Linked DNA regions of Rhinolophus ferrumequinum. The protein of the gene in region 1 interacts with the protein of each later gene in a biochemical or structural test. Links are inferred from orthologs where the notes say so. Each region holds a gene or a part of one and is shown in the gene's direction. Other genes may lie near its edges.

Evidence for each region.
Region 2: of the proteins of STUB1 (region 1) and IRF1, one has a biochemical effect on the other in vitro, tested with the Homo sapiens proteins (4 studies listed by BioGRID, with this or other methods). The link is inferred for Rhinolophus ferrumequinum from reciprocal best matches to the Homo sapiens genes STUB1 and IRF1.
Region 3: the proteins of STUB1 (region 1) and RUNX1 form a complex in vitro, tested with the Homo sapiens proteins (3 studies listed by BioGRID, with this or other methods). The link is inferred for Rhinolophus ferrumequinum from reciprocal best matches to the Homo sapiens genes STUB1 and RUNX1.
Region 4: the proteins of STUB1 (region 1) and PTEN form a complex in vitro, tested with the Homo sapiens proteins (2 studies listed by BioGRID, with this or other methods). The link is inferred for Rhinolophus ferrumequinum from reciprocal best matches to the Homo sapiens genes STUB1 and PTEN.

Annotation. Positions count from the first base shown.
Region 1 is NW_022680357.1:2,621,793-2,629,235, forward strand, and holds STUB1 (E3 ubiquitin-protein ligase CHIP), read left to right. Parts: upstream 1-4,610; coding exon 4,611-4,769; intron 4,770-5,268; coding exon 5,269-5,467; intron 5,468-5,554; coding exon 5,555-5,783; intron 5,784-5,914; coding exon 5,915-6,002; exon of another isoform or gene 6,003-6,060; intron 6,061-6,135; exon of another isoform or gene 6,136-6,226; coding exon 6,227-6,283; exon of another isoform or gene 6,284-6,372; coding exon 6,373-6,489; intron 6,490-6,561; coding exon 6,562-6,687; 3' UTR 6,688-6,940; downstream 6,941-7,443. Other genes in the region: RHBDL1 (rhomboid-related protein 1), read left to right, coding at 439-807, 1,018-1,242, 1,308-1,456, 1,578-1,690, 1,763-1,863, 1,939-1,999, 2,085-2,356; uncharacterized protein LOC117019799, read right to left, coding at 2,913-3,076, 3,199-3,351, 3,531-3,690, 3,887-3,980, 4,053-4,612; JMJD8 (jmjC domain-containing protein 8), read right to left, coding at 6,990-7,070, 7,144-7,278, 7,357-7,424. UniProt on the Homo sapiens protein: E3 ubiquitin-protein ligase which targets misfolded chaperone substrates towards proteasomal degradation.
Region 2 is NC_046307.1:8,819,780-8,826,987, reverse strand, and holds the start of IRF1 (interferon regulatory factor 1), read left to right. Parts: upstream 1-4,198; 5' UTR 4,199-4,524; intron 4,525-4,606; exon of another isoform or gene 4,607-4,800; intron 4,801-5,536; 5' UTR 5,537-5,541; coding exon 5,542-5,628; intron 5,629-6,860; coding exon 6,861-6,960; intron 6,961-7,208. UniProt on the Homo sapiens protein: Transcriptional regulator which displays a remarkable functional diversity in the regulation of cellular responses.
Region 3 is NC_046285.1:100,669,062-100,676,055, reverse strand, and holds the start of RUNX1 (runt-related transcription factor 1), read left to right. Parts: upstream 1-3,976; 5' UTR 3,977-4,186; intron 4,187-4,308; 5' UTR 4,309-4,367; coding exon 4,368-4,425; intron 4,426-6,994.
Region 4 is NC_046299.1:33,168,367-33,176,035, reverse strand, and holds the start of PTEN (phosphatidylinositol 3,4,5-trisphosphate 3-phosphatase and dual-specificity protein phosphatase PTEN), read left to right. Parts: upstream 1-4,652; 5' UTR 4,653-5,668; coding exon 5,669-5,747; intron 5,748-7,669. UniProt on the Homo sapiens protein: Dual-specificity protein phosphatase, dephosphorylating tyrosine-, serine- and threonine-phosphorylated proteins.

The DNA of each region.
Region 1 (7,443 bases):
GTGCAGGGCGCGCGCGTGTTCTGGCCGCGCGTGGCGGCGGCAGCGGCGGGGCGGGCAGCTCCGTGACGCGGCGCCGGGCGGAGCGGGCGGAGCGCACGGGCCGGGGCGGAGCGGAGTCCTCCGCAGAGCAGCCCCTCCCGGCCACGGCCGCCGACCCCGGCCCCCAGCCCGGCCTGGCTCTATGGACAGGAGCTCGCTGCTGCAGCTTATCCAGGAACAGGTGCGTGGGGACGGGGGTGCCGGCACCGCCCCCGTCGCGGCCCTCCACCGTTGGGCTGAGCTCGCAGAGTCCCAGCCCAGCCCCCACTCCCCCAGGCCCCTTCCTGCACGACCTTGGCCCCCTGCCTGACACCCCAGGAAAGGGCCAGCCAGACCAGCACGCCTGGGGAGGGGGAAGGGAGGGGAATTGTCCTCAGATCTTGGCTCTACCCTTCCAGGATGAGCGGGGCGAAAATGAGGTGGGGAGACCCCTGGAGGCCTGGCAAGCAGGCACCAGTGCTCTGGCAGCTCCTGGGACCATGTGGGCACAGGGGCCTGGCCCAAGGGTGTTGGGAGACTGCCTCTCCCAGCTGGCCTGGCCCAGCCCTTTGGTCTGTGGGCTGGGCCCACCCTCAGGCCTTGGCGGGCGGCCCCACCCCACCCCAGCAGCTGGACCCTGAGAACACAGGCTTCATCGGTGCGGACACCTTCACCGGCCTGGTGCATAGCCATGAGCTGCCCCTGGACCCAGCCAAGCTGGACATGCTGGTGGCCCTGGCCCAGAGCAACGACCGGGGCCAGGTCTGCTACCAGGAGCTGGTGGACCTGGTCAGTGCCACTGTGGGTGGGCAGCAGGGGCGGGGGCCCAGGCCCGGGCCGGTACAGTGCCCTGGCTGGAGTTGGGTGGGCAGGTGGCCCTTCTTCTCTGCCCTTCCCACTGGGGCAGGGCCTTACACCCTGTGAGGAGCCGGGTGGACCAGGTGGGCATGGAGGCCATGGGGGGGCACCATGTCCCATGCTTGGGCCCCACCCCCCCAGATCAGCAGCAAGCGCTCAAGCAGCTTCAAGCGGGCCATCGCCAACGGGCAGCGGGCACTGCCCCGGGATGGGCTGCTGGACGAGCCGGGCCTGGGTGTCTACAAGCGGTTCGTGCGCTACGTGGCCTACGAGATCTTGCCCCGGGAGGTGGATCGCCACTGGTATTTCTACCGGCACCGCAGCTGCCCACCCCCTGTGTTCATGGCCTCTGTCACCCTTGCCCAGGTGAGCCTGCCCACCTGGCACCTGTCTCCCTGGCCTGGCCTGGCCCTAATGCCCATTTCTCCCAGATCATCGTGTTCCTGTGCTACGGGGCACGCCTCAACAAGTGGGTGCTGCAGACCTACCACCCCGAGTACATGAAGAGCCCCCTCGTGTACCACCCCGGCCACCGAGCTCGGGCCTGGCGCTTCCTCACCTACATGTTCATGCACGTTGGGTGAGTGGGGGCCCACTGCCAGCACCCCTGGCTGAATCAGGGGGGTTCAGCCCTCTGCGGCCGGAGCTGGGGGCCTGATGGTTGATCCCACCCCCATACCTGTTTGCCCCCACACGGCCAGGCTGGAGCAGCTGGGGTTCAACGCTCTCCTGCAGCTGATGATCGGGGTGCCCCTGGAGATGGTGCACGGCCTGCTGCGCATCAGTCTGCTCTACCTGGCTGGCGTGCTGGCAGGTGAGGCAGGTGGTGCCCCACGGCCACCTCACTGTGGGCCTCACCCTCACGGTGTCCCCTTGCTCCACACAGGCTCCCTGACCGTCTCCATTACTGACATGCGGGCCCCCGTGGTGGGGGGCTCCGGCGGGGTCTACGCCCTGTGCTCTGCACACCTGGCCAACGTCGTCATGGTAACGGGACAGCCAGGGTGGGGTGGGGGAGGGGTCCCCCGGGCTTCGCTCACAGCCTGTCTCACGCTCCATCAGAACTGGGCTGGGATGAGGTGTCCCTACAAGCTGCTAAGGATGGTGCTGGCTCTGGTGTGCAGTAAGTAGGGGACCTGGGGGAGGGTTGGGAGGGGGGCGCTGAGCCCCCGGCAAGGGCCCCTCCCACCTGCCACTTCCCTCTGCAGTGAGCTCCGAGGTGGGCCGGGCTGTGTGGCTGCGCTTCTCCCCGCCACTGCCTGCCTCCGGCCCACAGCCCAGCTTCATGGCACACCTGGCTGGTGCGGTGGTGGGGGTCAGCATGGGCCTGACCATCCTGCGCAGCTACGAGGAGCGCCTGCGGGACCAGTGCGGTTGGTGGGTGGTGCTGCTTGCCTACGGCACCTTCCTGCTCTTTGCCATCTTCTGGAACATCTTCGCTTATGACCTGCTGGGCGCCCACATTCCCCCGCCACCCTGACAAGCTCCCAGGGGCCACATGGGCCAGGGGGTGGCCTGCATGTCCGCCCTCTGTGAATGTACGTCTCGAGGCTGCTTCTCCCCTGTGAGGACAGGTGGCCCCTGTGGCCCACTGAGTCCAGGCGAAGCCTTACACCAGCCCTGGCCCCCCTCCCAGGCCTGGGGCGGGTAGGACTGCTGGGCCAGGCTGAGCGGTAGAGGTCCCAAGGGTGGCCCCAGAGGAGACCTTGCCCCGGCCTTCCCCCAGGACTTGCAGTCTGAGCCTTTTTGGAGAATGAATAAATATTTTACACAGCACCAGGTGGCTGTACAGGGCTCCGGAGGCTGGCCTGGCCTCCCCCCTTACTCGAGCAAACTGTGAGGGCTCTTTCCTCCGTGTGGATGGCCTGGATTCTCCCTTGCTCCTCTGCACCTAGTGTAAGATGTGTTTGTATGGGAGGTGGGTACCGCTGGCGGGGGCAGACGGTGGACCTCACGGTCAGGAGTGAGTTCAGCAAGGATTTATTGAGCTGCTACAATCACACGGCAGGTGAGCAGGCCCTGGGCCACAGCCAAGTTCAGTCGGCCTGAGTCCTGTGCTTCTTGGCTGGCCTGGTAGCCTCAGGGGTGCCCTGGCTGGGGCTGAGGTCAGGCAGCAGGTCTGGGCACAGCTTCTGCCCCACAGTCCAGGTCCACAGTGCGGTCTCCACATGGTGAGGGGTCCACAACCCTGAGTTACTACCTAGGGAGGCACAGAGGTTCAGGGCTCAGGGCACGGGCCACCCTGCCCTTCGTAACAGCTCTGCACACTCCCCCCTGACTGGAGTCCTGGATACCCTGCTGGCCCACCAACAGTCCCCTCACCTCTGCTCAGGGCTCTGGCACGCTCCTGCACCCGGCCCAGGTACAGCAGGTAATGCTTGAGCGTGTACTGCAGAGCTGGCAGGCCGGGCACTGCAGCCACTGCCTCATCGGACATGAAGGCTGCCACCTCAGGAGCTCCAACAGCCAGGACCGCTGGGGGCAGTGAAGGGCCAGCACTCAGACCCCACCAGGCTCAGAATAACCACAGTGTGGACTGTCATTCCCAGGGACCCTCTGCATCATGGGCCTGGGCATCGGCCCGTATCTCAAAGACACTAGCAGGCCAGGTCCCGCCCGCGACCCTGCAGGTGTGACCAGCTCTGCCAACTAACCCGAGGCCGTGGCGGGGCCCACGCCCCGGAGGGCGCACAGTTCTGTGATTGCTGCCCGCATGTCTGGAAGGAGGCGGAAGGCAGCAGCCGAACACTGCACCACCTGCTCCGGGGGGTTGGTGGCCACCAGCTGCTGCAGGCGAGGACGGAAGCGGCCCCTCTGTGGCCGAGTCGGATTGGGTGGGGTGGTCACTGGTGGAGGGCCTCTCCAGGGGGACCCCGCCCCACAGCATGAGGACACGCCTCCTGAAAGGAGCTCCGCCCCACGCCGCGAGGGGCCACCCCCAGGTGAAGCCCCGCCCCTAGGAGGCGGGCCCGCCCGCCGCTGTTCCGCCCCCCACGTGGAAGCCCCTCACCGCCAGCTTCCACGCCAGCAGCCGCTCTAGCTCTTCTCGTGTCACGTGCTTCTCCGCGCGGCCCTCAATGGCCATGGGCAAATCCTCTCGGTACCTGGGAAAAGGCGGTGACGGGGAGTCCGGGCAACGGGGGTCGCCCGCCCTACCGATGCCCCCATCGCCCTACCATCGATCCAGGGCTTCCAGTTGCCCCCGGGGGCCCGCGCGCGCCCGCAGCACCTCCCCGTGGCGCGCCAGGATGGCGGCCCAGCGGCTCGGGTCCTCACAGCCCCACAGCCCGCAGGCGACCGCCATGTTCAAGGGCCGGGTCTCGGAGGGGGCGGGACCGGCCGCGGGGACGGGGCCTCTGATGGGCGTGGCGGGCCGCGCGGCGTGAGTCGGACCGACTTCTGGAAGGACCAGCCCCGAGTGCGAGGGGCGGAGCCACCTGGGCAGCTCTCGGCTCTTCTCCAGACTTCCGACGTCGTGGGTCGCGTCTCCCCGAGCGCACACTTCCGCTGGCCCCCCCCACAGAGCGTCGGGCGCACGCGAAGTCCCTCCCACTCGCGCGTGTCCGGCCGCCCCGCTCGCTCCGCCCCGCCCCGCGCGGCCGGAAGTTCCGGTGGCGGATCGCTGGACCGGGCCCGAGCGGATCGCGGTCTCGGGCTGCGGGCTCGGGCTGCGGGCACAGGGCGGGCCGGGCGCGGAGCCTGGGAGCGGAGCCCAGGCCGTGCCGCGCGGCGCCATGAAAGGCAAGGAGGAGAAGGAGGGTGGCGCGCGACTGGGCGCCGCCAGTGGAAGCCCCGAGAAGAGCCCTAGCGCGCAGGAGCTCAAGGAGCAAGGCAACCGGCTCTTCGTGGGCCGCAAGTATCCGGAGGCGGCGGCCTGCTATGGCCGCGCGATCGTGAGTGTGCCCGCGTCGGGGGTGGGGCCGGCGCCCCGGCCAGGGGAGGGGGCGGGGCCTGCCGGGCCTGCCTGGCCGCCGCCGCCAGACCTACCGAGTGTCTGGGCCCGGACGGGGGTGGCGTTTGGGGTCTGAGGACTCAATGGTGATCTCGTTCCAAAGGGGCCGAAGCCGCGGCTCTCGAGCCCCCCGCCGGAGAACTATGGCGGGTGAAAGCTTCAGGGTGCTTGAGGCCCTCAGAGCCCGGGAGGCCAGGGATTTCCACAGGTCTGGGAAAGTTACCCTTACAGAACCTACTGGAGTCAAGAGGGTGGGCTCGGGCAGGCCTCAGGACCAGACGCCACCTTCCAGCCATCCTCAGGATCCAGGAGCTTTGAAGCTGAGAAACCTAGATACTAGCAGCTTTCCAGCCGTGAACCCCACGCCAGGACAGGCCTTAGGACTGCGGGGGCAGGCTGAGGTCACGCCCTCATGCTGACTGGCCGGTCCTGGTCCCCAGACCCGGAATCCCCTGGTGGCGGTGTATTACACAAACCGGGCACTGTGCTACCTGAAGATGCAGCAGCATGAGCAGGCCCTGGCCGACTGCCGGCGTGCCTTGGAGCTGGACGGGCAGTCTGTGAAGGCACACTTTTTCCTGGGGCAATGCCAGCTGGAGATGGAGAGCTATGACGAGGCCATCGCCAACCTGCAGCGAGGTGGGCCTCCGGGCTGGCAGGGTGTGGGGGTGCCCGGGGCCAGGCGGGTGGACTGGCCAGCGGATGAGCTGAACTCTATTCCCTCAGCCTACAATCTGGCGAAGGAGCAGCGGCTCAACTTCGGAGATGACATTCCCAGCGCTCTGCGCATCGCCAAGAAGAAGCGCTGGAACAGCATCGAGGAGCGACGCATCCACCAGGAAAACGAGCTGCACTCCTACCTCACGCGCCTCATTGTGGCTGAGCGGGAGAGGTGGGCTGTGCTGGCAGGCTCCAGGACCCCCCACAAGTCACCATTCTTGAGTCACGAACACAAGTATTTATTGAGGGCCAGCACTGGTGAACAGGAGACAGACGGGGGGATGAGGCCTGAACAAGCCCAAGGTTGGGGTGGAAGGTGACCTTCCCTAGCCAGACCTCTCTGACCCGCTCCCGGTCAACCCTCAGGGAGTTGGAAGAGTGTCAGCGGAACCATGAGGGTGATGAGGACGACGGCCACGTCCGGGCCCAGCAGGCCTGCATCGAGGCCAAGCACGTGAGGGTGCCCCGGCCCCCACGTGGGTCTGTGTGTGTTTGTGTGCATGTGACGGGGGGTGGCCCTGGCTCCCGTGGGGTCTGAGTGTGCCCTCACGTGGGTCTGTGTGTGTTTGTGCGCATGTGACGGGGGGGTGGCCCTGGCTCCCGTGGGGTCTGAGTGTGCCTGTCTGGGGAAAGCAGATGTGGTGTCTGGCCCACGCGTGGCTGCTTGGCTCTTTGCAGGACAAGTACTTAGCAGACATGGATGAGCTCTTTTCTCAAGTGGATGAGAAGAGAAAGGTGAGTGGTGTGTTCTCTGGGGCCTGTGGGCGGCAGGAATTGGAGCAGCGTCCGCTTCCTGGTCCCTAACTTGCTCCTGTGTGAGGCAGAAGCGGGATATCCCTGACTATCTGTGTGGCAAGATCAGCTTTGAGCTGATGCGGGAGCCGTGCATCACGCCCAGTGGCATCACCTATGACCGAAAGGACATCGAGGAGCATTTGCAGGTGAGGGACTCACAGGCGCTGGGGGCAGGGCCTGGGCCCACTGAGCACCGTCTGACCCTGTTGTCACTGCAGCGCGTGGGCCACTTTGACCCTGTGACCCGGAGCCCCCTGACCCAGGAACAACTCATTCCCAACTTGGCCATGAAAGAAGTCATCGACGCGTTCATCTCCGAGAATGGCTGGGTGGAGGACTACTGAGGCAGGGCCACTGGCCCCACCTTACCTGACACCCTGGCCCAGGAGGGCCTTGGGGCGATAGCCCCCAACCCCTGTACATAGTTTGTGCCCCTGGATCCCTGCTCTGGTGTCCCCACCCCATCCTCCATCAGGTCTGCTGGTTGGCCATGAGCCTCCCCGTCCCCCTTCTGGGCCAGAAACAGCAGGCTAGGGTGGCTTGGGCTGAGGTTGCTGCTGCCACCACTGTCCCTGTAATAAAACCTGTGAGCAGTCATAGGGCTGTGTGCCGGTGTGCGATGGGACTTGCCAGCTGCCTGCTCTGGCTAGCTGAGGAAGGTGGAGATGAAGACACTGGTGTCGAGGTTGAGTGTGGCGTGCCACCATCGGTCAGGGAAATATAGCACCTGGATGGGGTAGGGCACAGGGATGAATTGGGGGCCCTCAGCCCAACCCCGCCCCCTCCTACCAGTGACTGACCTCACCAGCCTGGATAGTACATTCCAGGGGCCGTGCCGATGGCGTCAGGGTTGGGTACGTGTCCCGGAGCCAGGACAGTGTGGTCTTGTTGGGATGGAACTTGGGTGTCTTCTCAGGGGGATACAGGAACCAGCGCTGGGGGTGGAAGCAGCAAGGTCACTCTTTGTGCTGTGGTCAGTGAGCCCCAAGTCTCAGCCACCACCTTGTGCTGACCTTGCGGCCGTAGATCACCTCTGAGAACCCAGGCCCGTGCCAGTGGAAGGGCACCCCGGAGCCAGCTCCTGTGGGGGCAGTTATGAG
Region 2 (7,208 bases), on another chromosome or scaffold:
TACAACTGCCCAATGTTTATTCTGCTGTGTCATACAGCATTTTTGCCAGAGCTGTGAGAGGGGAGGGTTTAGTCTCGTGCCCTAGCATATCCCCAGGGCCAAACCTGGAGTTGAACCGGAACGAGAGTGTGATTTGTATTTGTAAAATGAATTAAGAAACATCTTCCTTTCTCTCCAACTAGGATCCTTTCCTAGTTGGAGATCCTTTCCTAGGCAGGGTGAAGATGCCTGGCTTCTATTCTCAAGCTTTTGGATGCTTTCAGATGACTTTATGCCCGATTTGTTCTCTGAACTTAACAGTTTAGAACTGCCTCCCAGGTTTGCCACGAAATAGAGATGATGGCTGGGAGGGACTTTGAGCATCTGGACCGGGAAGGCCGGAACACCTGATGGGGGTGCTTTGGGGACCATGGCCACTTCTCTGGATAGCAGATCCCACAGGGGCCCAGGGCTGCCCTACTACTCTCAAAGACCTAGTTAAAGCCTCGGTGTCCTGCACCACAGGACTAACTGCACACAGCTGGGGGGAGGGGGAGGGCAATGTGTTCTGAGAGCCTGAGGGAGGGGGCTGGGGACAGAATTTGGTCTACCAGGGAAGAGGCTCCCACAGAGGTGATCTTGCCTCCAGCATCCTGATTGCTAGCCAGCCAGCTCCTCCTGCCAGACTAGAAAACCCTAATACAGAGAAACTGCCCAATAAATCTACCCTCAGCGAGAGACAGTATAGATGGGAGGCGTCCTGTGAGCCCCTGCTCCAGAGCTAAGTTCCAGCTAACTCCAGGTGCAGGTGTGAGGAACTCAGGCCTCTTGCAGAAAAATGCAGACTGTTCCCCAGAAGGTCACCACTAAGAAGGTGATGAGTGGAGAAAAGCCAACAGGAAATTTAAAGGTGAGGGAGTTTTGAAGAGGAGAAGGACTTCTGCCTGGCTGCTTTGGGGGCACTTCATAAAAGACCAGGCATTTGCTCTGGGCCCTAAAATGGAGACTGAAATTGAACTGTGTGGGGAGAGGGGGTAGTGAGAAGGGGAGAACTGAGCTTGGAGGGGGGAGGGGAGTGTTGCTAAGTATCCCAGGAAGTCAGTAATGAGGAGCAAATGGAAGGAGCAAAGACATGAGGGAAAAATACAGTGTGTTCACAGAATGGAAATGCAGTGAAAAGTTCGTGCATTACTGTTAATACTACATGTCATTTGACTAATGTTTTACAGTTTAGAAAGGAGTTTGATAGTCTATCAAATTTTATCTTCACAATAATTAGGAGAAATGGGCGAGAGTAGTTCTATTTTACAGATGAGAAAATTGAGGCCCAGTGAGGGACAGTAACTTGCTTAAGGCCACACAGCAAGTAGCAAAAGCACAAGAACCTAGACTTTCAGACTCAAATCCTGTGTTCTCTCCCACAGCCCTCTAGTTACTGCCAAGGGTAGGGGAGCTGTGGGAGAGGTTAGAATGAGATCCTTGGGACCAGAATGAGCAGTGATTTGAATGGGGGGCTGAGGAATCTGGGGGAACTCAGAAGGCTCCTGGGTGGTCCTGAATGTTAGGGAGATCTTCATAGTGAGGGAGATCATCCTTGTGCAGAGGCGCATGCAAGTGCACGCCCCAGGGAAGGCTGTGACAATAGGGGAGGCTGTCTGTTTCTGGAATGTGAAAACATGACTTGGTGTGGGGGAAGGAAGACCCGGAGGACCAGGTAAAGCAAAGAGGGAAGGAGGATGGGAAAGCCTTCACCAGAGAGGCAGTTGGAATTAGGACGAGAGAAAGCTGATGGGGACTGTGTGGAAAGGGGAGGCCAGGAGTCCTGTTGTGTGTGTGTGTGAATCCGTAGAGAAGGTTGTAGGGGGGGCCAGCAGTCAGCCAGAGCTTGGGTTTGGTGGTCACCAGCCCAGAGAGGATGGCTGGAATTACAGAGTATGAATGAGTATTGGATTCAGAGAGGGGAAAAGGCCAGCCCTGAATTACTAAGAAAAACCTAAGGAAGGCTCTCTGTGTTCTGCTTAGCATCACAGGGAATGTGATACATGGTAGAACGAGACTCATCAAGAGCAGTTACAATAAAAATTTGAGGTACTGGAACAGGGTTTAGGTTTATTTTATTGATTTGGAGTACCCCCAATCATGATAAACAGATGCTTCTTAGAGGCTTCAAGATAAAATAGAATCCCGAAAGTTAAAAAAATAACGGCAAAGAACACTTCAAAGATGTAAATGACAATTTCATTGGTAAATCTTAATATTGGGGAATTTCTCTTAAGCAAAAAATTATTGATGTGTGCAAAGATGTCGCTACACAGTGTTGTTTGCATTATGAAAAAATGGAAATAACCTAAATGTCCTACAATAGGGGAGTAATTGGGTAAGTTTTTATTTATCCTAATGATAGAATAATATGTACCCATTACAAATGATATTGCAGAAGTACATTTCACGACATGGAAAGATGTACATTACGCATACACATACAGATTAATATCTGTGAATTAATATAAAGTGCTTATTTTAAAGCACCTTTCACACACTTGTTGCCTATACAGGGTCATTGTGGTCAATTTCTCAGACCACATGAAATTCAAACTTCCTCTCCCTAATCTCATTCTGAATTTTCCAGTGGTTATGTCAGGTTCTTAGGGACAGAACAAACACCCATTTGCTGCAGAGAACAGACTTCACGAAGTGGGAGCCACTTGTTTCTGCTCTTCTTGCTGAGAAGGTCTCATCTGTCACTTAAAGCACCCCAACAATTCCCCTTCCAGGCCCTCAGGACCTTCCATTTTGCTTAACACCCAGCTAGGCTCATTCCTTGCAGTTCTTCCCTCCTCTTTGCTTCTGCCAGCTCCTGCACCCACCACCAGAATTGGCTTAACCCATCCATTTCCTCTGTGGGAAGGAGGCAGTGGAATGAGTGGCAGGTGGAATGCTGCCTCAACGTGTCTATAGTCTGCACCATTGCAACTGGGTGCTGTCCTGGAGGGAGAGCTCCGGAGAAGGGCCTGACACAATCAGCTCTGCTGCGAAGAGCAATTTACTCCTGAGTCAGCAGCTTTGGAGAGGTGAGGAAAGGAGTAGTCTGCTGGGCCAGAGTTCTGGATAGAAAATGAACGCCCAGTCCAGCCTCTAGGAGTACAGGTAAGTCAAGGTCTACCTGTAATCACAAGAGTTAACTGGCCCCTGGGACCTGGGCTCCCTAACCCTTTGGCTAGACCCACGGCCTTGGCCAGCCCTAAGAAATCCCCGAGTCCTCAGAGACAACACCAAAGCTGACACTGAGGAGCTCCCATGCAAGGGCCAGGTGAGGCTGTGGAGGTGGCCTTACGGTAGGAGTGCTAGAGGGACCAAGTCGACCCGCCAGCCCCCGCCCCCCAACTCAGCAGTCATGGCTTCTCTGAAACCTTTCTTTTCCCCTTTCCCTAATGCCAGCTGTGGGGCAGTCCCAAGGATGCAGACCGAGAAGGGGGAAGGTGTCTCCCTGCTCACTATAAGACTGGCCCGGGACCTCACAAACCACGCAGCATGGGGCATGGGGCTTTACAGATACCATCTCTCTTCCACCAAACCGGCCAGGTAGGGCTATTATTTTGTAGTTGAGGAAACTAGGAGGTCCGGAGTCCCTTGGCAGGCTATACCAGCAGCTGCCAGACTGGGATTTCCTCTCGCTCAGCATCCCCAGGCAGCATCCCCAAGCAGGACCGGCTTTCCTTTACTTCCTCAGGGCAGGTGAGTGGCCCCTCAAGAAGTGGCCCCTGAAGGTGGGTCACCCCTCAAGAAGGAGGCAGTGTGAGGCAGTGAGGGCTGACACCCTCCCTTCTTGGCATCCCGTTGGCAGCTTGAGGAACCAGCCTGGCTTTCGGGAATTCAATCCCGGTGTCCACTCTGCAGAGGGTGGCAGGTGTCCGGGTGATCCCCTCACCTGCGCTCAGGAGATAGACGTCTTCCCCCTCCAGAGAGGAGGGTGAGAAGATGGCCACAGGAGCTAGCAGGATGGGAGAATGCGGAGCGGGGAGTAACTGCAGGCCAGGGGCTTTCGGCTTTCCAGGACAGCGTTTCTCAGGGGCGAGCTGGGGTGGGGGTGGAGTGGGAGCTAGCGGGGCGGGCCCGCGGTCGCCCCGGGGCGGCGGCGCCGGGCCGGGGGTGGGGGAGGTGGGGAAGAGCTGCCGCCCTGTACTTCCCCTTCGCCGCTAGCTCTACAACAGCCTGATTTCCCCGAAATGATGGGGCGGTGCTGGCCAATAGGCGCCCTCGCGGCTCTCTAGGAGGCGGGGCCACGGCGGGGCTGGGGGAATCCCGCTAAGTGTTTAGATCGCTGGCCGGCGCCGCTGCCCCGGCAGAGCGCGCCACTCCTTCGTCGAGGTAGGACGTGCGCCGGAGCAAAGGCCGAGCAGAGCCCAGCCAAGCCCAGCCAAGGTCAGCCGTGCCCAGCGGCCCCGCGACCCGGGCATCCTCTTCCTTCTCCCCGCTCTCACCCGGAATCGCGCGCGCCGCGCCGGGACCCTCGGGCACAACCGCCGGTTCGCGCCTGCTGCAGAGGTGAGCCCGCCTTCGCCGCGGGGGGTACCAGTGGCGTCGAACAAAGGCCTGCGGGGCTCGAGGAAGTGGGGGCCGAAAACCCCAGGCGAGAGAGTCGTGGGCGCGCGGCGTTGCCTGGGCCCCCGCGCGGGCTCCGGAGGGCGCTGGAGGAGCGGCGAGCTGCAGCGCGGGGAGGGCGGGCCGCGGCGTGGACCGCCCACTGGCGGAGGTTGCCGGCGCCCGGCCGCTTTCTCAGATCTGTGTGCGTGAAGCCACCGGGGGCCTCTGGCTGGCGGGGTATGTCGGTTGCGCGCATCCAAAGCGGTGCGGGGAACTCGGATATAGGTCTTCGCGTGGGCGCCCCGTGCTCCTCGCGGCGGTCCCAGCTCCGCTTCCAGGCCCCGGGTTTCAGGCTGTCTATGCAGGTGGCAGGGACTGGGGCTTGTTGCCCTGAGTGGCTGGAGGAACTGCGGGAGCTGCGGGAGGAGGCGCCACAGGTGTTCCTTCCGAACACCCGAGCCAGGCCGGAAGGGTTAGCGTCCCAGCCTCCGCACTGTGGCTGTCAGGGTGGCGTAGAGTAGATGGGGGGTTGGGGCAGGGTGACTGCTTGCCCATTAGGGAAGGTGCACAGCTCGGGACAACTAAACAGGGAAATTTCTTGGCATTAAGCAAAAGACACCCCTCCTTTCCCAAAGGATTTGAATTTGGGGAGAAAAGTTCTGGTATTAAGCTATCTGTGTATTATGTCTCATTTTCCTGCACATAAATCCTGCAGCCATCACTTCCATGCATGTCTCCTCCCAAGACTGTCTAGGAGGAGATGAGGGAAGGGGCAGAAGTGTTTTTTTGCCCAAGATACTGAAAAGATTTTCAGGGCAGTTTTATTCCAGTGAAAACCTCCTCCCCGCAATTGTAGTACCTGGTACTTGGCGGAGGGCAGAGGAGGGTACCTGAATGACATGGGGTGGGTAGGGTAGTGCCCAGGGTCTGCTCAACAAACTCCAAACAGTAGCCTTCTGTCTTCTCTTCACAGCCAAGATGCCCATCACTCGCATGCGCATGAGACCCTGGCTAGAGATGCAGATTAATTCCAACCAGATCCCAGGGCTGATCTGGATTAATAAAGTGAGTGTAACTCTGGGTTTTCCTGCCACATTTTAACCCATGTTCTTTGGGGGACCAAAGCGTCAGATGCAACTCAAAAAGGGAAGTGGTAGGGAGGAGGCAGATGTGTTTCCCAGTGGGTCCTGCATGCAGGGAGTGTGCCAGGCCCAGCCCTGGGCCCCACTTGCCCATGGTTTGCCTTCCTCCCTTCACGAAGCATGGGCAGGGCACCCAGCTGAGGTCACTGACAGTTTCCAGCAGCTAGACTCTCCCAGCATCTGCAGAGCTGGAGTTCTGGTGTCTCCTGAGACAGAGCCCTACAAACACGTATGGCATCTTACAGGGCTCCAGTCAAGACAGATACGAGGCAGAGAAGTGGGCACTGTTGGCAGGAAGGTGGCTGGCTCAGCAGGGGACCCAAGAATTAACCTTGTACCAGGGGCCCAGGCCCAAGAACTTTCTTGCTGGTGCATGAAGGGCAACACAGGCCCTGCTCACTAGTAATAACAGTATTCATAATAATAGTGACTGCTTACTGTACACTCCCCACAAGTGAGTGTGGCACCATGCTAAGTATGTTACTTACATTGTGTCATTTAATCCTCAAAATAGCCCTGTGAGGGAGAGCCTATTAATATCTCCATTTTCAGATAAGGAAACTGAGGCACTGAGAGGTAGACAGTGGCTTTGATTCCAAGATTTAAACTGAGCAGTCTGACTCAGAAATCCATACTGTTAACTATCAGTAATGAGAACAGTGAGGCTTTAGTCTTTATATTTATCAGTGTGTTTTCTTGTTTCACAGAAAACGGTGAGGGACAAAGAGGTGCAGTGACAGTGCCAGGGTCACACAGGTAGTCAGCATCCGAGTCTCCTTCAGGTGTATGGCCAGGACCTCCTGTGTCCTGAGCAGCCTCCTCTAATGGACAGAGTTCTCATTTCCATGTTGGTGCTGACAAGCCAGAGAAGCACCCCAGGGTGCATTGTATGGGTTCCAGCACATTTGTGACAGGCAGAGGGGGGTCTTTGCTGAGCTGATGGTGCCACAGCTTATTTGAACCCCTTCTGAGCCGTCCAGAGCTATACAGTAGCCTATTTAAGCCAATCTCAGGATGGGTCAACCCAAGCCAGCTGTCAGGGTGAAAAGAGGAAGTAAGCCTTTTCCCAGACCTGGGGGGCTGGGCAGATTTAGGCCAAAAGCCTGTGGTCTCTGAGCTGACACTGCCTTGTGTGCATGTATTTGTGCTGTTCAGGAGGAGATGATCTTCCAGATTCCATGGAAGCATGCCGCCAAGCATGGCTGGGACATCAACAAGGATGCCTGCCTGTTCCGGAGCTGGGCCATCCACACAGGTGTGTGATCAGCCCAGGAGGAGCCAGGGAGGGACGTGGGGAGCCAGGGAGGGGCCATGGGGAGGCACTTCTGGTAACACGGAGATTTGTCCCTGGCGTCTCTGAGCAACTTGAGATGGTGTACAGAACTCAAGGGTGGGCAGGGGCAGACCTGTATTTCTGGGGAGAGGAGCCATCCTTTCAGCAAGTTCTCAAAAGAATTTGTGAAGTGGAAACCTTAGAAAGTGTGGCTTCAGGGAGTTTGGCTA
Region 3 (6,994 bases), on another chromosome or scaffold:
AACTCACAGGATTAATGTGTTTCCAAATTGCAAACTAGGTGAAAACTGAGAATCCGATGCCCCTGGAGGAAAAAAGCCTTCTGTTTATATACATGTGGCCACCAGCTTGGTACATGGAGCGCACGGGAGTCTCTACATTGTGTGTCAAACCTCAAACCATAAACTTCACCCAAACCCAGCACTCGAGAGGAGATGTCCCAGAGATAATCCAAGAAAGCTCTATCTTAGAGGATATGAACCATGCCTCGCGTGGGTTTCTGCCGTCTAGAAACTTCCAGGGCTTACAAAATCATGCCAAGGCAACGAGACAGAAAAATTAGACTTTTCAGAAAGCTGTAAGGAAAAAAGAAATCTCCAAGAATGTAGAAAACTAGCATATTAAGTCTTTACCAAATTCCTACATAGGCAAGGCTTCCCCCTCAGAGCCAGGCTTGTCAAGCTTTGGTGTGTGTAGGACTCACCTGGGGATCTTGTGAAAATGCAGGCTCTGATTCAGTAGGTCTGGGAAGAGCCCACGCCCTGATTCCTAACAAGTCCCTGGGGGGTGTCCCTGGGGCTGACCCACAGGCCCCACTTCGTGGAATGAAGCACTTTCAACTCTTATGTGTGAAACAATGACCATGAAACAGCGCTTCATGTCATTAGACAGCTTTCATTTGATGAGTTGCTTTTTTTATTTTTTATTTTTTGAAATCCTGTTTCCTCACAGAGCCACACATCTTCAGCTAGAGAAGGTTAAGGGAAAAAAAGCTGAAACTCTTGTCTGACTATAAAATAAAGTTTTGTGGTGACTTACATTTGAATGGTACTTGTACCTGAAGGACCAAGAGACGTGTGCGTCAGACGCATGTGTCCCACTGTGGACACCACCATGAGGGCTCCAGGAAGAACGGTCTGTAACTGTGGGGCCTGAAGAGCTCTCTCGTTATTATAAATCACTGGATTTGCCAAGATCAGATTATTTTCATTCCAGGAAGCCCTGACATCCATGTCTCAGTTTAAAAATCGTCACTGAGGTCATTTTCAGCATGACACAGAAGTTTCTGGATAGTACCTCTGCTGGAACACTAAGATTTAAAAAATACGGAGAATGTGTGCTACAGAGAGAGAATTTAGCGGCATTACCCTCCTTGGAGGTTAGACTACATCCGATATTTGGGGGGCCCCGCTTTGGGGTCCATTTTCTGGCCAGAGAACCTGCTTTACAATAAGCGTGTTCAGAGAGAGCATACAGTGATCATGTAATGAAGATACCTAACAGGCAATGTTTTCATTGGACTGGACTGCACTCAGAAGTCTACACATTAATTACAGGCTTATGCAACGATGCGTCTTTCCACCTTTGCTGGTATTTATAGAGCCATTAAAAATGACACCTGAGCATATTCTCCTCCCCCCAGTAGTGACATGTAGAAGCTGTAGCCAATCTGAGTGAGGCTGGAAACTGCCATCCAGTTCCTTGGCAAAGCCACAGTCGGCTGTAGCCACTTGGGTACAATTCCCAAGGCAGCAGCCCAGGGTCTGAGTCATTTGCAGGAAGTAGGACAGAGGGTGTGGGTCACTGCACAAACGTAAAGAATCCTAAACAGCTCCAGCTCAGAGAGGACTGAGTATTCCTCTAGGCGGCTCACCGATGACATACGGGTATTTCTGTCTTGGGCTCCTAAGGAAGTGGTAAGGCCAAGTTCATCAGCCACCGGCTCAGTCTTTGCTAATTGTCATGACTTGGAAGATGCCCAGAAAGGCTCCAACTGTCGCCTCACCGAGCTGTGAAGTTCTGCTGTGGCTGTTGTGTCAGATAACCCAGAGGAAGGCAGCACCCGGCGGAGGTGCATGCCTTCAGATTCTGCCCCCTGGTGCCTCCTCAAAACCCCAGCCCTGACGATTGATTACAAATGATTACAGCCAACCCCAGCTTTACTCACAGTTGTCTTTAAACTTGGCCTGTCCTACAAAGACTCCACTGGGAAAAATGCGCATTCCGCTCTAGCTAGGCCCTCAGAGAAAAGCCAAGAATTCCAACAGCAAGCTGACACATCCAAACGTACCCCTCAAGCATCTGAACACCTAAAGCTGAAAGCATCTGGGAGTTTCTACAGTGAAACATTGAAAGGATTTATCTGCTTCGCCACTTGAAGTTCTAAGTCATCACTGAGTCTGAGCCGACTGTGAAATGGCAGCTGCGCGTTACAGCCTTCAGCTCTCAGGAGCCTCCCGGGGAATAGTAAGTGTAGTAAACAAGGGACTTGCTGTGGGGCTGAACCCAGACTTGGCTTTCTTGGGGAGCACAGGAACGTAACATGAAGTATCTTAACAAAGAATTTGCACTGCGAGTCATACGCAACATACATGACATCTGGATATTAATAAACTTCATAACACAAATATGCACATTATCATTCTTGTAAATATTAATAAGGTGTCAGCATTGAGCAAGCTAACTTTACACCAGTCTGGGAGAAAGCAGACACTTGAGTTTCAATTCCTGCTTTAGTCAAAACAGGAGTAAGTAAAACTCATGTCTATTCCTTTTAAAGGAACAGGGCCATTTGCCCTTGAACATGGTATCACTGTAAGTGTCGGCGAAATGGAGTGGATGAGGAAAACATCGGGGGTCACTCTGACAGAGCAGACTTTCCAAAGTGCCTTGGCTGGTTCCTGTAGGCCAGCTTGGGATCCAGGGTTGGCATTTAGAATTCATCATCTCAGTTTCTCTTGAGTGTGTGCGTTGAAACTTCCAGTGTCCAGAATGCCATGGAGGATGCATGTGGATCGCAGCAAAACAAAGTGATTAATTGGGAAAGGAGAGTCTTACTTTATCTGGGAACTTTACCAAGAACAATATTTTACTCGTTAGCAGGTAAACCAACTAGCAGGAAAAAGAAAGAAATATGTGTGCCCAAAATGGCTTGCCCACAAACAAACTTCTATTTTTCAGCACCTCCAAACAGGCATGTCTTCTCCCGAAGGCAGATGAGCTGTGGAATGATTTTGAGTCAACCCCCGAGAAGGGGCTTGCTCTGGAGAAGCGTCTCCTCCGCTTCCTCTATGTATCATGCATTTGTCTCCCTAATGCATTCAGTGTGGTTATGATAGCACCCGGCTGAGTTTTACCTACAGGTGGGGATTATTGATTCAAACAGAGCTACAGAAAGGCAGGCAGTGAACTTTCGCAGGTGAAAACAAAATAAACTGTTGCAAAGTAGCCACTGCTTTTACCCAAAATATAAAACCTCTGTTTTCTTTCTTTTCCTTTAGCTTCCTAATTTGAGAGTGTGTATCTGTGTGTGTACTATGATGGTATCTCTTTGCTGAAAAGATGTCCATTTGGGAGGAATAAAACCACGTAATTTTGGTTTTATTAAAATGATCTTTTCATCACAAAATTAATATGCTTTCCTTTTTTCAGGCTTTAAAATACCGGTAAGTTGCTAGATCCTTTTAGGGGTCAGACTCTCACCAAAACATTTCCTTTTCTTTTTGTTTCTTTTTTCCCCCCCTCCCTTTTATAGTTTCACTTATGCCGTAATAGTCTTTGCCAAGGGCTGAATTCTCCTGAGCATTGGACGCCCAGCATCTTACATGATGGGATCCACTTCCTGTCTTAACAGCAGCCCGGTGCCAGGGTAGAATTACTATTGAATAAGCGGCAATGAAATCTTAATCAAAATAATCAGTAGTTCCAAAAACCACAAATAACAACAACAGGACCCGAGTTCTACTAAATCAGCAAAGACCATTGATATAATAAGAGACTGAGTCACTTTTTTCTACAGTGGCTTTCTTGCAAAGTCTACTCGGCTATTTTCTTGCACAGCCTGGGGGAGGCAGGTGGAGGAAAGGAAGGGCATTGCTCAGAAAGTAAGAAAAAAAAAATTGACATCATTGAAGTCACGTGATGGGCAAGAACCAATTAAGAAGAGCTGTGGAAAGGGGAACAGTTAAATTTGTAATTTGGGTTGTGTGAAAACTTCTTTGGGCCTCATAAACAACCACAGAACCACAAGTTGGGTAGGCTGGCAGTGTCAGAAGTCTAAGCCCGGCATAGTGGTCAGCAGGCAGGAGGAATCACACTGGCTGCAAACCACAGGGTTTCGCAGAGCGGTGAACATCATCAACCCACAGCCAAGACACCGCTTTTTTTTTTTTTTAATCTTTAACAATTTGAATATTTGTTTTCGCAAAGGTACATTTTTCATAGGGCTCAGGGAGCCCCAGAGGTATCGAGGAGGGGGAAAAAAGAGATGTGGGGAGCCATGGCTGGGGGTGAAGTTAAAACAGTGACCTTTCTTGGTTTTCGCTCCTAAGGTAAAAGAAATCATTGAATCCCCCGCCTTCAGAAGAGGGTGCATTTTCAGGAGGAAGCGATGGCTTCAGACAGCATATTTGAGTCATTTCCTTCATACCCACAGTGCTTCATGAGAGGTGAGTACATGCTGGTCTTTTAATATCGACTTTTGCTCAGCTTTTGCAGATAATGAAATGGCAGCCTGTTGTAACTCGTGCAGATAGACTGGCTGATTCCCTGTCTGTTTGGTGGGAGGAATTCAAACTCAGGCATATGATTACAAGGCTATTGGATTACTTATCCATCAGATGGCAGCTCTTCAGAAATGTTTTAATAAATACTTAGTTAAGCTGTTGAAGTGTTCAGTCGGTGTGTGAAAACTTTGTCAAGTGCGAGTAAGTTGGGCTGTTCCTGATTAAAGTCCTGGAGATTATAAAGCTTGCACGAAGCTCTCTGGATTTTCTTTTGCTGTCCCTTGCTCGGAATGACAGCGGCTGTGTTACCCTGAACTCAGCACGCTGTGTGGCCCACACTCCAGCCTGCCCCGGGCTTTGGCACATGCACTGCCGGCCAGGAGGGCTGTGCCAGCCTGGGGCGGAGGCTGAAGTAGGCACGCAGATAGGCATTAGACCAGCCGCGAGACTTCAGGGACAAAGGGGCCACTTGGTTGTCCCCAAGAGGCAGAGAGTGCAGGAGCCGGGCAGGTTTGTTGAGGTTGGAAGTTCCGGGATGAGGTTGTGCTGTGTTGTTCCTTGTAGTCTCAATGCAAAGAGGCAACCGGCATCTTTCAAGAGAGAAAGAAAGCAAGTTGTCTCTTCCAGGGGTCTGTCTCACAAAGAGTAAATAAAGACGTTTTCTAAGTCAAACGTTGCTGCAGCTTAAGTTATCAGATTGCAGGACTCCTAACAGGAACAGCTAATGTGGAAAACCTGTCTGCGTTTTTGCAGCCAGCCTCCTGAAATGTGCAAAGCTGTAGAGGTGAGGAGTGTGTGTGTGTGTGTGTGTGTGTGTGTGTGTGTGTGTGTGCATGCTCGTTCTGTGTATCTTTGGTGGGAAAGGAGGGCCGTGCTTAAACCAACAAAAACAATAAAAATGTCACAAAGGCATTGCAAAGTGTCAGGGCACGCACTTTAACCAATGCCTGCGAAGTGTGGCTTGATGGTTTGGCAGAGCTGAGATGGAGTGGGATGGGTTGGGGGATAATTAATTTTCTGGCTACAACTCTCGAGCGCACCCAAATAGTATCTGTGACTCGTTATTTATTCATACAGCCAAGTGAGCAGGAGCATGCAGAGGGCTGCCAGGCACTTTGTCACAACAAACGCTGTTGTGAATGCCACAGAGTTTCTAGGTTGCTGGGTGCCTGAAATTTAAACACTTGACGTGTGTGTGCGCACGCGTGTATGTGTGTGTGTATGTGTGTGTGTGTTGGCGGTGGTGGGGAGAGGATTTCAGAAGAAGGGGGAAGAAAGCAAGTCATTAACCGATTCAAAGCTTCAAATTAAAGGGTTTTCAAGTGCTGCTTTACTGGCAGCTGAGGACATTTTAGTGAAGTTGAATCATGCGCTATGTATGAGTCACACATCCTCGCAGCCTGGGCTCCAGTGGCCACTGGTGAGAAGCTGCGAACTGCTCCCTCGCTGCATTTCCTCTGGGTCTCTAACAAGCAAAGGAAGCAATATTTGTAGAATAACAGAAAAAAGATCTTCCTGCCTTAACTCGCTTTCAACACCTCCCCCCACCAAATGATGATTGTTTCCTATTTTATCAACTCAGGAAGGCAGATTCAGGAAATTTTAAAAGATTTCACTGGGCAATAGATTGGATTTCTGTGTGTGGTGCTGGCATGCCTTCGGTCCTTACCGGTCGGACAACAAAGATAAGAAGGGGACCCGGCGACCGGCATAGACAGCAGGCAAGAGAAGGAGCCTGGCCCCTAACACAGCCCCACAGCTCCTGGGTCCCCTGGACCGTCACCCACCCACCCCAGGGTGGGAACTAGGAGCAGTTAGTTTTCAAGAGGGCTGTCGGGAGAAGACCCTAGACCCCAGCCAAGACTCAGAAGGGCTCCTGGCAGAAGGTCTTTTCATTTCTTCCTCTCAGTAAAAGGAACTCGAGGCCTTTCATCATCTGTATCTCAATAATAGAATAATGAGATTTAATTTCAGAGAATCAAAGTGAAATCTTGGCAATTTCCCAGTTAAGTTTATCAAGGTGATCCATCAACATCACGGTTTCAGTTGTCTGGATTAGCACCACTCCCGGGAGCTGGAGGGGTGGCCAAATGCCATTGCTTTGGGTACTACTTGAGGTATTGCCTTAGGGACGATGGTAGGACAATCACCATGGTCCCCAACACACTGTTCTCGCTCCGATTCCTCAGCCCTGTTTCCGTAGCCTGGTCAGCAGCCGCACTCTGCACCGTAGTCCTTTCTTGCTGTCTATAGTTGACAGCATCTGTTCCCTTCCCAGCTGCAAGCTGGAGAGGAAAACATCTTGTGTTCTTCCTGGGATGGTACTTTGTTCGTCCGTGCAGTTCTCACAGAAGGACACCCACTTTGGGCAAGATGTCCATGTGGAAAATGGGGCAGAAGGAGAGGTGTGGGAGCAAGCAAACCATTGCTCCCTTCTCCGTGCGAGGCGAGTGAGAGTCTGAAAGGCTGGCATGCAAAATGAATGTGGTCTACCACAGAAAACACCGCTCCT
Region 4 (7,669 bases), on another chromosome or scaffold:
AATTTATAGGAGTGAAGCAATGGTCAATCTTAACTCTTTTTTAGTGTTCTTCCTGTACATAGACAAATGAGGCTTACTCTGCAAAGCACCTGGTAAGTGCCCCAATGCCTAATATATAAAATTATTGTATTTTTCTATTAGTGGAAGAGCTAAAAAGCCAAATACGTGTTCTATAGGGCTAGATTTAGAGTTAGTATTAAGGGGACCAAAGTAGAATATCCAATAGTCAATTAGGTTGGAGACTAAAAAAGGCAAAGCTGTCTTCTCATATTAGGTCTTCTTTTCTATCACCTTCTAGGCCGAGTCACAATTTCTAAATGTCACTTGGACACAATAAGTGCCTGGTCTGCTCTGTGGTTCTCCCAGAAGCACCCAGCCCAACTTTTATTTCTGAGTTATAAGTTCATACAGCACACCTCTCTGCTGAGATGTGAAAGGAGACATAGGTGCCATCTGAAATAGCTCCAGGAGAGATTTAGGACACTCATAGATAATAATGGAGATTTAGGAAGAGCTCATAGATAATAATGGAAACTTTGCGATTATAGTTACTTATATGATCCATAGCAGTGCCTTCTGGGGAAATGTCTTGGACAAAATATCTTTATTCAAAAGAACAGCAATATTTATTGTAATTAGGATAAAGTAGGATAAATGAAATAAGGGGAAAGCCTTTGGACAATTTGAAGAATGGGGTGGTTTAAAGTCAAACCTATAATTGTTACATTTTTCTATTCTGCATTATTAAGAAAACAGTGCTTATACAGATTAAAAATAGAGACGATGGCTTAAAGATGAAAACCATTGACTTAGATCTCTATTTGAAAGGTCAATGTGTGGGAGATGAGAAAGGCACTGTAGTGTGCAGAGTGTTCAGCAAAAGACATGTTAGCAGCAGAACCTACAAAGACCACATCAGCTATTTATATCACTCACATCAGGTTGCTGGTGATTTCACTTATCAAAAAAAGTAACAAATGTATTTTCTTTGGACATTCTTTGAGTATAATAACAATGCAGTTTGGGAATCAGTTGTTAGAAACTGATAATTAAAGCTGGTTTGTCATGTTCACTATTCTATATAGTTAACCTCCCAGAAGCTTTATATAATTCTCCCTTTGTTACAAGCTTTTGTTTCTCCCTACGGCGTTCTGAATCCAGACAGGTAAAGAACTGAAGTGCTTGGAAACCAACATGTATTGTGTTATATGCACAGCCAAGCAGATATTTGCCTTTGAACTTGAAAAAATTATTAAAAAAAAAACCCACAAATCTTTCGGTATATTAGATGGGTTCTGCTACTTAGAGGTTTAAGCTCTACCACTTGGGTAAGGAGATTTCTTGCGTAGAAGGAAAAAGTGAAGAAAAACGAAAAATGAAAAAGGATGCTTTAGTATTTCCTTCAGGAACCTACTTGACCCTGGGAAAGGGAGGAGATTTTTTTTCAGCAGCTCCTAATAATCACCTGGTATTGCTGTCAGGCTGGCCAAATATCTGCCAACATTGCTGATCCCCTCATTCATCACTAGAGAAAAATAGAGGGACATGATGTTTCGAGAAGCAGCAAAACTATCTCCCGTTTTCTTTCTTCAGCCGATGGAGGTGTTTGTGGGCCAGTCTCATATTCCAGCACTTTAGTGCTGGTGATGCACATCCTCTTTGCTCCAAAATAACTCTGTGCCATGGGAATTGGAAAGGATCCCTCCTCATGCTTAACATCAACAGGGTATAAGTGAACCCAGTTTCTTCCCAGGAAGTGGATTTCAGAACTTCTCAGATGATGGAAGAGTAATCCTCACCTCAGGTAGACTCCAGGAGAGGGGCAAAGAAGGGCATTCTTATAACAGGGACTCTGGGGACAAGCTCAGCCACCCAGAAACAAACATAGGACATTTTATCCCTCCTCAATCTATTATTTCCCTTCATTTGACTTCATCTTCACTTTGCCTTTTCCCACCAAGTAGTAGTTGATATTCAATTGAGCACAGCTCAGGTTCTTACCATGCACCTAGAAATCAGGGAGTCCTTGTCCTTGGTTATTTGTAAAATAAAGAAATCTCTAGCTCACACTAGGCTGTGTGGACAGGATTTTCATCTTTGTAAACCAAAGTAGGAGTAGGCCTTTCTCCTACTCTTTCCAAATTGCTCTCCATTTAATTTTCCACTGTGGCCCTTACTTCCCCCAAGCTGACCAGGACCATACACAAAATCAGCTTCCAATAAATATCAACATTGAAGGTTCAGCAGGTTGCTAACTCTTGCAGAGTTATCGTGAAAGGATGTTGTATATAAATGCCAAGTTTTATGGAGACTCAGAGATCTCTAAGAACACTTTAAATATCCCTGGTTTAATTAGTAGTTTTGGAATTAGGTAATGGCCTGTGGCTTCTAAGCTAGGTCTCTTGGGGTTTCTAGTCTTCAGGGGCTGCATGCAACTATGATGTGCTCATACAATCTTCTGTCTCATAAATTGAATAAAATCCTCTTCAGACCTTCCCAGGCACCTATTCTCAATTACTGCAATACACATGCAAATTGATCCCCATTCTTCCAGATCTAAGAAAAGAAAGAACCAGTGCCTCAGCCTAGATCTCAGCTCAGATACTTTTGGACTCCGATTGTCTCCTTGAGTTCTACTTCCCAGGGGAAAGAAAAGGAAGAAATTCCTAGATTGATGACCATTTTCTCTAAGCAGGAGGTGCTTAGAGAAAATGGGCATCAACTCGCTTTGCAGCTGATCAATGTCGGGATAAATACGCTCCAGTTCTCAGCATTTCTGAACCAGCTCTCTCACCGGGATAGGGCAACTAAATCGAAGCTGTAACCAGATTTGACAAGTTTATTCTGGGCTGACGGCCATTGACTAGGTTCTCCGACTAGATAAGTCACTTGGCTGAGTTTACAGTAGGTGGGGCGCGCTCACCAGCTCATCAGCTCAAGGGTAGTGACTGGAAGTTTGTTGCAACATCGTTGAATCCAAGCAGCGGGCTGCAGCAGGAGATACCCTTTTGCCCCGCGAGCAAGGCACTAAGGAAAAGGTTCGCCCTAAGGAGCATCGGGCACTAGCAAGGGAGAGGCACCAGACTCCCGGTGGCCCAGCCCCTTCTCCCACGGTTGGGAACGCGCAGTTTTAGTCGACTCAGAGCTAGGCGTCTCAGGTCTCGGCCATTTAATTTGTTCTGTGGGTAGCAAGCGGAGAGTGGGACCAACTTGGGAACTCTCGCTCTGTGGTCTGCAAGAATCAGCGGCGGCAGCCACTGGTGCGGGAGGCGGGGGCACGTGCTTGGATGTGGGTGCTTGTGTAACCAGCTCCCAGGCGTCAGCCCCGACAGCGCTCCGGTGGGTGGCTCGCCTGAATCAGTTTTTCCGCCGCGACCCTGCAGGCTCTGGGGTCCCTTGTCCGAACAAAGCGGGAGCACCCCGGGCGAAATAAGCGAACCACTCGCCTCGTCCAGCTATCATAGGGGAGTGGGAATTTGGAAAGTTCCCCAACTAGGAACACACGTGACCTCCTCCTGAAAGTAGTTCCGACTGTGGCCGTGTATCCCTCCACCTCCTTTCGAACCCTCCTCTGTCTCTTTGGCCCCGCCTACTCGCAGGGGTTGCAGCTTCCTACCGTCCGGTACTTCACACTTGAGCCAGCAACCCCGGCCTGCAGCGTGCACAACCCGGCTTGGGGAGCACGGAACCTGGCCCTGGGGCGATCCCGTCCGGGTTTTCACAGCTGCCCAAAAGGGGCGGGGCGAGGTAGCCTCGGAGGATCGAGCTTGAGTTCGACGCGGTGAACCGAACTGGAACCCCGAGGGGGGGGCGGGAAGTGCTCAGCCCTCCAGGGGGCGATGCATGGTGGAGCCCACCTGGGGATCCGCTTTCAGTCCGCTTGGACAGTTGTCTTTTGGGAACTGGAAATTCAGGGGCGATGCGCTCACACTCAACGTGCTTGGACGGGAGCTCTCACTTTTAGGGCAAACGAGCCGACTTGCCGTGGAAGCGGGAGGTGGGGCGGTGAAAGAGAGCCGGATGAGGTGATACACACTGGAGACACAATAGGGGGTTGTTCTTTGTGCTGAGACTGACACCTTGAGAACACGGGGGCGGGGGAGGAGGGGAATGGAGATGGGTTTTCTGGGAAAGGCTGCTGCAGTCAAATCCCTGCGAACGACAGTGATCCAACACCGGTGTAAAAGGAGAGTGAGGCTGCCTGCAGGCCGTGTCGGGGAAATCTGGGGGCGGAGGCAAGCGGAGGGGGTGTCATCGCTGCAGGGACCGTTCCTGCGTTTCCCTGTACACTGACCAGCGCTGTCACCCGCTCCTTTGCACTTGTGCACAGGTAACCTCAGACTCGAGTCAGTGACACCGCTCAATGCACCCGCTTCAGCTTTCACCTTCAGCCCACCCCTCCCCCCACAACAGCCTACCCTGCCTCTGGCTGGGTTTCTGGGCACAAATCAAGGATTAGCTAGTTTCCCCGTCCTGCGTTGAAGCAGCAGCCAAGGCAAGTGCTGCTACTGGCGGGCGCCTCGGAACATGCCCGAGCGAGCCCTGGGTAGTCACACTGGGCATGCTCAGTGGCGCCTGCAGGTTGGGGGCTCGGAGCTCGTACACGGAGCTGCCGCTCCTGCCCCCTCCCTGCTCCCTCTGCCCTACGCCGTCCTTCCCTCCCCCGGCGCGATCGCGCCTGCCTCCCGCCTCCCCCACGGACTCCCGAGGCGCTCAGGCTCCCCGCGCGTCGGCGGAGGGGGCGGGCAGGCCGGCGGACGGTGATGTGGCGGAACTCTTTGTGCACTGCGGCAGGATACACGTTCGGACGCCGGGACGCGGTTGCGCTCAGTTCTCTCCTCTCGGAAGCTGCAGCCATGATGGAAGTTTGAGAGTTGAGCCGCTGTGAGGCGAGGCCGGGCTCAGGCGAGGGAGATGAGAGACGGCGGCGGCCGCGGCCCAGAGCCCCTCTCAGCGCTCGTGAGCAGCCGCGGGGGCAGCGCCCTCGCGGAGCCGGCCGGCCGGCGGCGGCGGCAGCGGCGGCGTTCCTTGCCTTGTCTTCGTCTTCTTTTCTAACCGTGCAGCAGCTTCTTCCTCGGCTTCTGAAAGGGAAGGTGGAAGCCGTGGGCTCGGGCGGGAGCCGGCTGAAGCGCGGCGGCGGCACCTCCCGCTCCTGGAGCGGGGGGGAGAAGCGGCGGCGGCGGCCGCGGCGACTACAGCTCCGGGGAGGGAGTCGGAGTCGCCTGTCACCATTTCCAGGGCTGGGAAAGCCGGAGAGTTGGTCTCTCCCCTTCTACTGCCTCCAACACGGCGGCGGCGGCGGCGGCACATCCAGGGACCCGGGCCGGTTTTAAACCTCCCCTCCGCCGCCGCCGCACCCCCCCTGGCCCGGGCTCCGGAGGCCGCTGGAGGAGGCAGCCGTTCCGAGGATTATTCATCTTCTCCCCATTCCGCTGCCGCCGCTGCCAGGCCTCTGGCTGCTGAGGAGAAGCAGGCCCAGTCGCTGCAACCATCTAGCAGCCGCCGCAGCAGCCATTACCCGGCTGCGGTCCAGAGCCAAGCGGCAGCAGAGCGAGGGGCATCAGCTACCGCCAAGTCCAAAGCCATTTCCATCCTGCAGAAGAAGCCCCGCCACCAGCAGCTTCTGCCATCTCTCTCCTCCTTTTTCTTCAGCCACAGGCTCCCAGACATGACAGCCATCATCAAAGAGATCGTTAGCAGAAACAAAAGGAGATATCAAGAGGATGGATTCGACTTAGACTTGACGTGTATCCATTTCTGCGGCCGCTCCTCTGCCTTTCTGTCACTCTCTCTTAGAACGTGGGAGTAGACAGATGCGAAAAATTTTCCATAGTCTGGGTGACTATAACATTTAACCCTGGTCGAATTTCTAGCTTATGGACATTTTGTGCCTCTTTTGAATGCATTGAACGGAGGGTGTGTTCTGCTAGACGGAGCTCTTGCCTGGTTGCAAGTGTCAAAAGCACCGATTGGTTTCTTAGTCTATGTATGGGGTCTCTTCCTAAGGGCTATTGTCCGTTAATACAGAATACAGTACGCTGTTAGTGGATTAGTGAGCTCGGTAATCCGGTCTACTAAATGAGCAGAAAAATAGACGCTTTGAGGTTGAGCCTATCTCGATTAAATTTTGGCTTTAGGCCCTAGATCAAGGGTATAGATCAGATTAAAATGAAAATTAGTGTTGCACGTACGCATATTGCATCAGAATCTTGCAGTGATTGTTCTTAGTTTTCTGGGTTGCATTGATAGACTCTTAAAATGTGACTTGGGAGCTGATTTGCATAATTTTAGAAGCAGACTCATTTTTAGCATATATGGTGCTCATTGGAGGACAAAAGTAGGGTTTGTATGTTTAAACTAAGTTAATTACAACTTTGACCTGTATTTAGGAGTTGTGTCGTTTCACATCAATAGTGTCATCCCTCATAAGGCGCTTTTATTACATCGTTGTTAAATTTGCCTTTTTCTCTCTTGATGGGGTGATGTAGCATAGGGCATGAAATTTGCAGTTCAAGTAGTATTTTATATTCAGTGCTCGTCACACGTAATAGAATGGAGATTGAGTGTTTTTTGATCCCAATGATAATGTGTAGGTTCAAGAGACTGTGGCAAATGGTGATTGCAGAGATTAAATTTCAGTTCTCACTTGAAATTTAAGTATTGTGATGCCAGAACTGCTACTCACCTTTTGTAGACTTCAGGTCCTCTGACACCTTTGGGTTTCCCTTAAGTCTACTCCGAGTTGTGTAGAATGTCAACTATGATTTACCCGCTAATGACCAGAAATGCTGGCAAGAGTGGATTACTCCAGCTTCAGATTGTAGGTGTGTTAGCTTTTTTCCATAGTGTTAAATTTACTGAGTCAGCTTGTTGAATAAGATAGAAACCCCAGAAATTTTAACTGTACAGTTTTGGTTGTCTAAAAGTTAGGCCTTTGTACTTCAAAAGGTAGTGGTTATTGAAAGGCATTAATCGTTGTAGTTTCAGATATAATAAACTGGTTTTAATCAAGGATGGGGAGCTCTCCTTTTTGTACAATGGGAAGTATCACAGTAATTGAATTATTGGTAGGTCAGTGTACAAGGCATGAAAAACAGAATTAAGTTATTGATCTGAGGTGACTGGAGCACTTTGTTAAGGCCTCAAATTTGGTGGTGTGAACTGTAGCAATGGACAATATTTAGTTGAAATTATGTAATTGCAGAAGTATTAATAGAGTAGTCTCAGTAAAAATTATTTCTTAGCAAATGTCAGTAAACATTTTGCTTAAAGGTGACACGTGTGTATGTCCTAAAAATTATGGGGGAGGTTTTTTGTTTGTTTGTTTGTTTTAAAACTTTTTATATCTGAAGAGGTTTTATTCCTTTGGATTATGTAGGTGCACATAAATAAATGTGCATAGCTACTTTTGCCTGAGTTTTTGTTTTAAAATGATGATAAAAGTTACTGAAGAAATAGCTTTACAACATACAAAATGTAACAGTTTCTAAGTTAAAAATAATATTGAAAAAATAATTGGAAATTTTGGGGGAGATTGCATTAATTGAAAACTTTGCTAAGGCTGAACTTGACCCGCTTGCCTAGAAGATATTAGGTAAAAACTCAGAAGTTCTGATTTGTAACAATGCAAAAGTAGTGTACTACTGGTGTGAATTGACAGTCATCTAGA